Linked DNA regions of Cricetulus griseus. The protein of the gene in region 1 interacts with the protein of each later gene in a pairwise test. Links are inferred from orthologs where the notes say so. Each region holds a gene or a part of one and is shown on either strand. Other genes may lie near its edges.

Evidence for each region. The genes of interacting proteins can lie anywhere in the genome.
Region 2: the proteins of Med31 (region 1) and Selenbp1 interact in a two-hybrid assay, tested with the Homo sapiens proteins (2 studies listed by BioGRID and IntAct). The link is inferred for Cricetulus griseus from reciprocal best matches to the Homo sapiens genes MED31 and SELENBP1.

What each region holds. Positions count from the first base shown.
Region 1 is NC_048600.1:86,054,486-86,058,938, forward strand, and holds the start of Med31 (mediator of RNA polymerase II transcription subunit 31), read right to left. Parts: upstream 2,848-4,453; 5' UTR 2,706-2,847; coding exon 2,678-2,705; intron 1,682-2,677; coding exon 1,604-1,681; intron 1,333-1,603; coding exon 1,236-1,332; intron 1-1,235. Other genes in the region: uncharacterized protein C17orf100 homolog, read left to right, coding at 3,066-3,467. UniProt on the Homo sapiens protein: Component of the Mediator complex, a coactivator involved in the regulated transcription of nearly all RNA polymerase II-dependent genes.
Region 2 is NW_023276806.1:61,568,397-61,572,050, reverse strand, and holds part of Selenbp1 (methanethiol oxidase), read left to right. Parts: coding exon 1-80; intron 81-297; coding exon 298-483; intron 484-1,080; coding exon 1,081-1,201; intron 1,202-2,529; coding exon 2,530-2,712; intron 2,713-2,963; coding exon 2,964-3,142; intron 3,143-3,654. UniProt on the Homo sapiens protein: Catalyzes the oxidation of methanethiol, an organosulfur compound known to be produced in substantial amounts by gut bacteria. Selenium-binding protein which may be involved in the sensing of reactive xenobiotics in the cytoplasm.

The sequences.
Region 1 (4,453 bases):
AATTGAAGGTGACTAAGGCTTTTAATACCCAGTCTGTAAATCTGCTAGCACTGTTATAACAGCCTAATAACTTAAAAGTCTCTCCTTCAGATTCCTAAAGGAATCAATAATTGCATCATAAAGAGCAAATCCGGTGCAATCTGTTCTACAGGCAGTCCAGGATCAATTCAGAAAAGTGACTAGGATATAAAGAAAAGGCTTGAAATGTTTCCCTCTAATTTTTAAGATAGGGTCTATGTAGCCTTGACTGGCCTGAAACTTGCTACATAACTAAGCTGGCCTAAAACTCACCGGGATCTGCCGGATCTTCCTGAGAGCAGGGATTAAAGGGGCATCAGGCTAAAATTTCTGGGTTTGTTGTTGTTGTTGTTGTCCACCCTTTTAGGGGAGGGGGAGTTCAAGACAGGGTTTACCTGTGTAGCCCTAGCTGTCCTGGAAGTAGCTTTGTACACCAGGCTGGCCTTGAACTCAGAGATCTATCCACCTCCACCTCTACCTCTCAAATGCTGGGATTAAAGGTGTGTACCAGCTTGTTTTTCTTTTTTAATTAAGACAAAGCAGAGGGGTGAGTTCAAGGTTTTGTTTTACCATTCAAAGGGATAGCTGTGTAGTTGTGATGTTTCTCACAATTGTCTATCAAACAACTTGACAGTGTTCATGTTTGTCTTTCTTTTGTTTACAGTGAGTTAATGTGCACGATACATTTAGCACAGTACTTGACACATAGGAAACTATAAAGAAGACAGTAAGTCTAAGACTCCCAGAAAACACCACTTCTTATATGTTCATTTTCAGCTTATGGCTATACCACTACATTTTAGTAGTTTATAGGTTGGAAGGCATTAGAAACCCAGAGAGACAAGGGGAATGCTAAATGACAAGTTCAGACAGACCAAATCAAATCAGAGTCTTACTCTAAAACTAGTTACTGGATTTTATCCTACATGAATAGAAGTGGCATGTTCTGATTTATACTACTAAGACAGTAAATTGGTTTTGACAGACAACTGTTTGGCTTTGTTTGGTTTGAAGGGAGTGAGGTAAGAATGACAGCAGAAATAAGTGAGATTACTGTAACAATTCAAATTAGAAATGACAATGACATGACATGAACTAAAAGCAGAAAAATTCAAAACATAGTTTGCCATTCTGACACCGAGAAAACTGCTAAATATAAGCACTTCGTATTTATAATAAAGTATACACAGATTTAAGATTATAAAAATTAAACTTACTTTAGATACTTGGCATATTCTGGTTCTTTCCAGTAAAGCAAGTACTTAAGATAATTTACAAAAGCTTTGTCTTTGAAGTAACCTCTTTGGGCAAGAACTGAAAGGCATAAAGAAACAATCTGTATGTCAACCAACTGCTGGACTACTGACTTGTAATCGCTACAATAAAGTAGCTCTTTTAACATTCCTACCATCAAAACACAAGGAATTAAAAAACACAAGTCCTTGTTTGCTCAGTTAATAACTACAGACCATCGAAAGTAAAATCCCATTCAAACATACCGAAGTAAATACTATTATGAATTCCATCTCTTCTGTCAGAAATCATTAACAGCTAGCTACTCAACTTAATGATGTACTCGACTTACAATTAAGGTAATTTGGGTTGGCTAAACATTGCACAAATTCCAACTCCAACTGAAACCGAAGTCGATTTCCAGCATCATCTAGGAGAAAAAAGTAAAAGACACCCAAAATAAAAGTCACGATACCAATGATTTGTAGAAACAAAAACAAACTGCCAGTGAGACTGCTCAGCATGTAAAGGTGCTCACAGAAAAGTCTGATGACCTGAGCTCCATCCCTGGAACCCGCAGGGTTGCAGGAACAGTAGACTCCTGCAAGTTGTCCTCTGACCTCGGCATGCACCGCCCACCCCCATAGGAATGAATTTATGAAACAAATACCAAACTGCAGGAGAGATTTCCTTAGAAATCTCAGAGTGGAGCCTGGTTTAAAACAAAACAAGCCGAGTGGTGCATGCCTTTAATCCCAGTTCTTGTAAGGGGGAGGCAGGAGGATCTCTGTGAATTCCAGGCCAGCCTGGTATACATAGCCAGTTCCAGGCTAGGCAGTAGTACATAGTGAGACCCTGTCTTCAAAACAAAACAAAGATAATAAATTACCTAAAGTTAGTTGAGAAAAATAAACGAAACGGCTATTTAAGGCCACTATGGGAGGATGGTAACAGAGATCACTGGTTGGTCTGTAATAGCTGTGCCACCCCCAATGTTAGCGTTACAACCACAACTACTAACAGTGATTAAGTTAAACAAAAACAAAGTGCTAAATAAAAGCAGGAAGCAAGATGCAAAATGATTAAACAGCGGGGAGGAGACGGTAATCCGTATCAGAACCATACACGTTACAAACATTTCAAGCAAGTTCACGGGAAAAGCTCCATAGAGCAGACAATTGAAGGGCTCGGTCCTCTCCCTCAGTCCCACCCCGGCCCGCGAGCCAGGGAGTGGAGGTGTGAGCAGCCCAGGAGCAAAGATGTCGTTCACACAGGCCACAATCAGAGACAACACCGCCTTCTCCCCCACCGATCCCAACTCCTTAAGGATGCCGGGTTAAGCCCGAAAGACGGCGCGGGGAAACCGGAGAGAAGGGGGGAGGACCCGTTCCCTCGGTGAAGACTCCAGGAGCACGACACCACGAACCTGTCTCCATAGCGACGGCCGCGGCCATAACCAGAGAGGAGAGAGACGCGAACACAACCAGCCCGACCCAACCGCGGCTTCAAATGGTGAGGGAGGATCCGGAAGCCACGGCTCTTATTTCCGGTCGCGGGGCATGTGGGACGCGAGGGCGGAGACAGCCTCCTTCTGAGGAGAGAGGCCCCGCCTATCTGTGTGGTCTGGGCCGGCAGCCTGAGCAATTATCTAGCGGCGCGTGCTGGAAGAGCTCGTTGCTCGCAGATCCTATGTGGCCCGCAGCAGCCTACACTGACGTAGCTCATCACCCTGACGTCACCGTCCCTTGTGTGACGTGACACAGAGCATGAGTCTTGGGCCTCTGTGTCCCTTCTGACCTGGGTGTGCCAGCAGGATGGCCTCGCCCCTTAGGAGTAAATCCTTCGCCCCGCGAGTGGAAAGCACCCGCCAAAAGGAAACGTCGACTATCCGCGTGGAGACGTCGTCCCACCGCGAGGAAACGTCATCCCACCGCGTGGAGACGTCCTCCCGGCAGGTTCGAACGTCTTCTCGTCAGGTGGAGACCTCTCAGCGCCACCGAGAGGGACCCTCCCTGACCTCCTCCGCGAAGCGACTCCCTAGATTCCTCGAGGTATCCTCCCAGCACGTGGAAACCTCCTCGCAGTGCACGGAGACGTCCTCCAGCCACGTCAGGGCGTCGTCATCCCTGCGGGTGGAGACGACTGTGCACCGTGTAGAGAGCCCAGCCAGGAGGGACAAGCAAACAGCTCGCCAGAGTGCCAAAATGACCCGATGAAGTGGCCATGGCCCTTAGCCAGCACTGAAGTGTTTCCATTTGCCAGCCAGCCAGCTTCCAGGAGAGCCAAGCATCTTTGGTTTCATGGAAACAGCCTGTAAATCAATGTAAGAAACAGGCTGTGGTTTCTGGGTGCTGCCAACATGTATTGAGATTGCATCACCTTAGACCACCCTGCTGTTGACCCAGTGTACTATTTAACTCGAAGCCAGCACAGAAGGGCTTCAGACTTGCGGTGCGTATATACTCGGCTGATGATGGACAAAGAGGCTCTTTGAGTCTCTGCACCAGGTAAGTTTCGTAGCCTGAGGTCCCTCTAGAATGGTTTGACCACTTGAAATTTGCGAAGAAGGACCAAACTTGTCATGAATTCATGACCACTGGCTTGATTATATAGTGCTTGAAACCAATAGAACAAAGAATCATCTTTCATGGATTATTAATTGACCTTTATTTGTATTTCATAATAAGCTTTCCTATGTTAAGTTTTTATACACAGTACTCCACATACAGGCTTTTATTATTTTTTAAATAGGTCAGGGGGTGTTGGGGAAAAAAAGGCAAGTCAATTAATAAAAAATATGCTAAGAAGGGAAAGTGAAAAGAAAGCCATTGGCACCTGACCTGAAGGGTGAGGCTGACAGAGGATGGTTACTGAGTACCTACTGTGTGCTAGGTACTAGTCAGAGCATGTCAGCGATAACAGTGGAGAAGACTAAGATCTCCCTGTAGTGAAGAGGCAGAAACAAAGGGGAAAGCTAAGGTCTCTTGTGCTCATGTGAAGGAAAAGGTATCTGGTAGAGAACAGGGAAGTTTCTCTAGAGAATACCGTCAGGAAGAGCCTTGCTAATTGTGTGGGTGAACAGTGAGCCATACCAGGAACTGGAGGGGAGTGCGTTCTAGATAGGAGGAAAAGCCAGCATAAAAAGTTAGTGGGAACAAACTGAAGATGTTTATGGAACAGAAAGACCAGTTAGAATATGAGA
Region 2 (3,654 bases), on another chromosome or scaffold:
TTTACCGAAACACCGGCATTGAGGCCCCAGATTACTTGGCCACTGTGGATGTTGACCCGAATTCTCCCCAGTATAGCCAGGTGAGGTGAATTTTGGTCACTGGCATCCCTGAGACTCCCACCACAGCCCTGGTTCCCTAACTCCACCCTCCTTTGTCCCCCTCTTATGACAATGGAAGCTCTTCACTGTAGGGGGTGCTGAGCGGAAACCCTGCCCTGTGCTGAGATGCCCAGCCAAAAATGAGTCTATAGAGGTATGGCCTGGGCAAGCAGCACTTCCTGCCCCTCTCCACCCTAGGTCATCCATAGGCTGCCCATGCCCTACCTGAAGGATGAGCTGCATCACTCGGGATGGAACACTTGCAGCAGCTGCTTTGGGGACAGCACCAAGTCGCGCAACAAGCTCATGCTACCCAGTCTCGTGTCCTCCCGCCTCTATGTGGTGGACGTGGGCTCTGATCCTCGAGCCCCGAAGTTGCACAAGGCAAGTCCTCTGTCCTTGTGGCTGGAGAGCCTCACACATGCTGGCCCCACTGCCCCTAGACCAGCTACCTCCAGCTCTCACACAGGGTCTGGCTCAGCAGCAGGGAGGGAGGGCAGACTTCAGAAGTTACCTTGGTCTGCTGGGCTGGCAGCATCCAGAAGCATGGGCTGGGTGCCAGAAGAAGTGGCTTTTTCTTGAGGGGCAGGAGAGCCAGGTTTCCCCACACAGTTAGGAAATCATGTCTTCCCCCAGGCAGCAGCTCCAGGCCTTCCTCTCAACTCCATTGGACACGCTCCCTGTGCACCAGATGCTCACAGCTGGCTGCTGAGGGTGCAGAGCCAACACTAGCATGGGAGGGGCCCCAGGAGCTGGGAGTGCCTTCAGGAAAGATGGGGGGAGTCCTCTGACTGAGGACTTATTGGTGGCTTCTCTGCCCTTCTCTTGCTGCTCCCCGAGTTACCAGACTGAATCCGTGCTGTCTTCTCTCCAAGAGAGGAAAAGAAGAAAGTTCCACAGATAAAACAGAAGAATGGGAGAAGGGAGTCTAGCGAGACCCCCAGCTCTGTAAAGTCTGACCCTACTCCTCACCTTTTCCAGGTCATTGAACCCAGTGAATTCCACACCAAGTGCAACCTGGGCAATCTGCACACCAGCCACTGCCTGGCCAGTGGAGAAGTGATGATCAGTGCCTTGGGCGATGCCCAGGGTAATGCCAAAGGTACCTGCTGGCACTGAGGACCCCCAAAACCTCAGCAGATAAGAAGTGTGAGAAACATCTGTCTGTGTGGGGAGCAATGGAGTGAGGAACCAGGGAGAACTGGGTGGCTCAGTCCTGTCCACCAGTATCTTAAATGTCAGCAAGTGACATCAGTTGGGCCTGGTGGTACAGGCTATAATTTCAGATACTCTCTAGGCTGTGGCAGAAAGATAACAAGTACAAGGCCTGCCTGGGAAACTTAGCAAGACCTTGTCTGAAAATAAAAATAAAAGGCTAGATATATACCCTAGTAATACAGTACTTGCCTGCTATCAGTGAAGTCCCAGGTTCAACTCCCAGTACAAGAACACATACACATACTTCACTCACAACACTCACAACACACAGACACACAAGATGACCTGGGACTGCTGAGTTTGCTAGAAGGCATAGTCAGGAGTCGGCTATAAAGATATGAACACGCACGTGAACCCAGGAAGAAAGAACATAATGTAATTCCAGCACCCTTGGCTTGGCTTTGTGCGTGTTGTGTGTGTGTGTGTGTGTGTGTGTGTGTGTGTGTGTGTGTGTTGTGTGTGTGTGTGTGTGTGAGTGTGTGTGTGTGTGTGTGTGTGTGTGTGTTTAAGTTTTTAAGAAAAATTTAGCTGAGCACAGTGATGGACACCTTGAATTATAGTACTTGGGAGGCAGAGGCAGGAGGATATCTGCAGGAGGCCAGCCTGGTTTACAGAGTGAGATCTTGAGCTACATAGATTCTGTCTCAAGAAAGACAGAAAAGGGAGGGGAGAAAGTAGGAGGAGAGGAAGGAAGGAGGGAGGGAGGGAGAAAAGGTATTGAGTACACAGCCAGGTATTGGTGGTGCACGCCTTTAAGCCCGACACTTGGGAGACAGAGGCAGGCCAGGTCTATCAAGCAAATTCCAGGACATCCAGGACTATTACACAGAGAAACCCTGTCTCAAAAAACAAAACAAAAAATGTATTGAGTACAGAAATGGCAGGTGGCTTACATGACTGGAGCTCCACTTGTAGCTGTCCAATAAAGCTTGGACTTTGAGTTAGAATCCCATGGTGGTTGTGGCAGCCTGGGCAAATGTTTATGGGGCTGAGTCCCAGAGCTCTCTGTTTAGGGGGAGCACATTTTCCCCAGAGCTCTAAACCAAAGATTACGTTTCTAGGAGGGAGAGCACAGAGTGAGGCCCTACCTCACCCCTGCTATCTCTGAAATGGGTGTTTGGGCATCTGAGCCTAAGGATCCGACCAGCTGGGTGAGAAAGACAGCCATGGCTCACGGCTTTTACCTAAGCCTCTTTCTTCCCTCTTTCTCAGGCGGTTTTGTGCTGCTGGATGGGGAGACCTTCGAGGTGAAAGGGACATGGGAGAAGCCTGGGGGTGCTGCTCCTATGGGCTATGACTTCTGGTACCAACCACGACACAATGTCATGATCAGCACTGAGTGGGCAGCTCCTAATGTCTTCAAAGACGGCTTTAACCCTGCTCACGTGGAGGCCGGTGAGAATCACCTTTGGGTTGGCAGGAGTCTTGGGCCACATCCCCTCCTTTTCAGTCCTCTGACCTACACCAGATCTGCAGGCCCTACTGGTAAAAGGCTAAGACATGCCTGGTGATCAGAGGGCTCAGACCTGTTCAGGAGTCCTCTGTGCCCATTCCTAACTCTCCATCCTAGTCAGTGCCCTGCCTCCGCCCATGCCCCCCCACCCAACCCGAGCCCAGCCTCTGGTGCCTACCCCCTCCCACCTCAGGGCTGTACGGGAGCCACTTGCATGTGTGGGACTGGCAACGTCATGAAATCATCCAGACCCTACAAATGAAGGATGGGCTCATCCCCCTGGAGGTCCGCTTCCTCCATGACCCAGCTGCCACCCAGGGCTTCGTAGGCTGCGCTCTCAGCTCCAACATCCAGCGCTTCTACAAGAATGAGGTAACTCCATGACTCCCCCTCACCCCTGCTCCTAGAAGAGTCTCATGAGGACATCCTCCTGGCTTCAGTGTCCACATGTGATGGTCTCACCAGCCTAAGGCTTCTTCAGGAAGAAATGCTGCTGCACAGCCTACCTGTCTCTTCGCTGTGCCAGGCTAATTTCCACCTTGCCCAAGTCTGTTCTCTGTTGCTGTAACTGAGCAACTGAGCATCACAAGCAGGACAGTTATAGGGAATAGAGGTTTAGTTAGCTCATGGGTCTGACATTACGCCATCCAGGTTGAGGAGTGGCATCTGGTGAAAGGCTTTCTTGTGGTTGGGAACTCTGCCTCCAGGGACATCACAGGGTGAGCCATGTGCAAACAAACTGGCTTTATAAACGACTCATTTTCAAGATAACCACAAATGCTCTACGTGAGCCCATCCTCCGTGAGCTCTGACTTAATTACTCTAAGGTCCCACCTAGTCCCCAGGTGGTGACATAAGTGTTTAATCCCAGCACTTGGGAGACA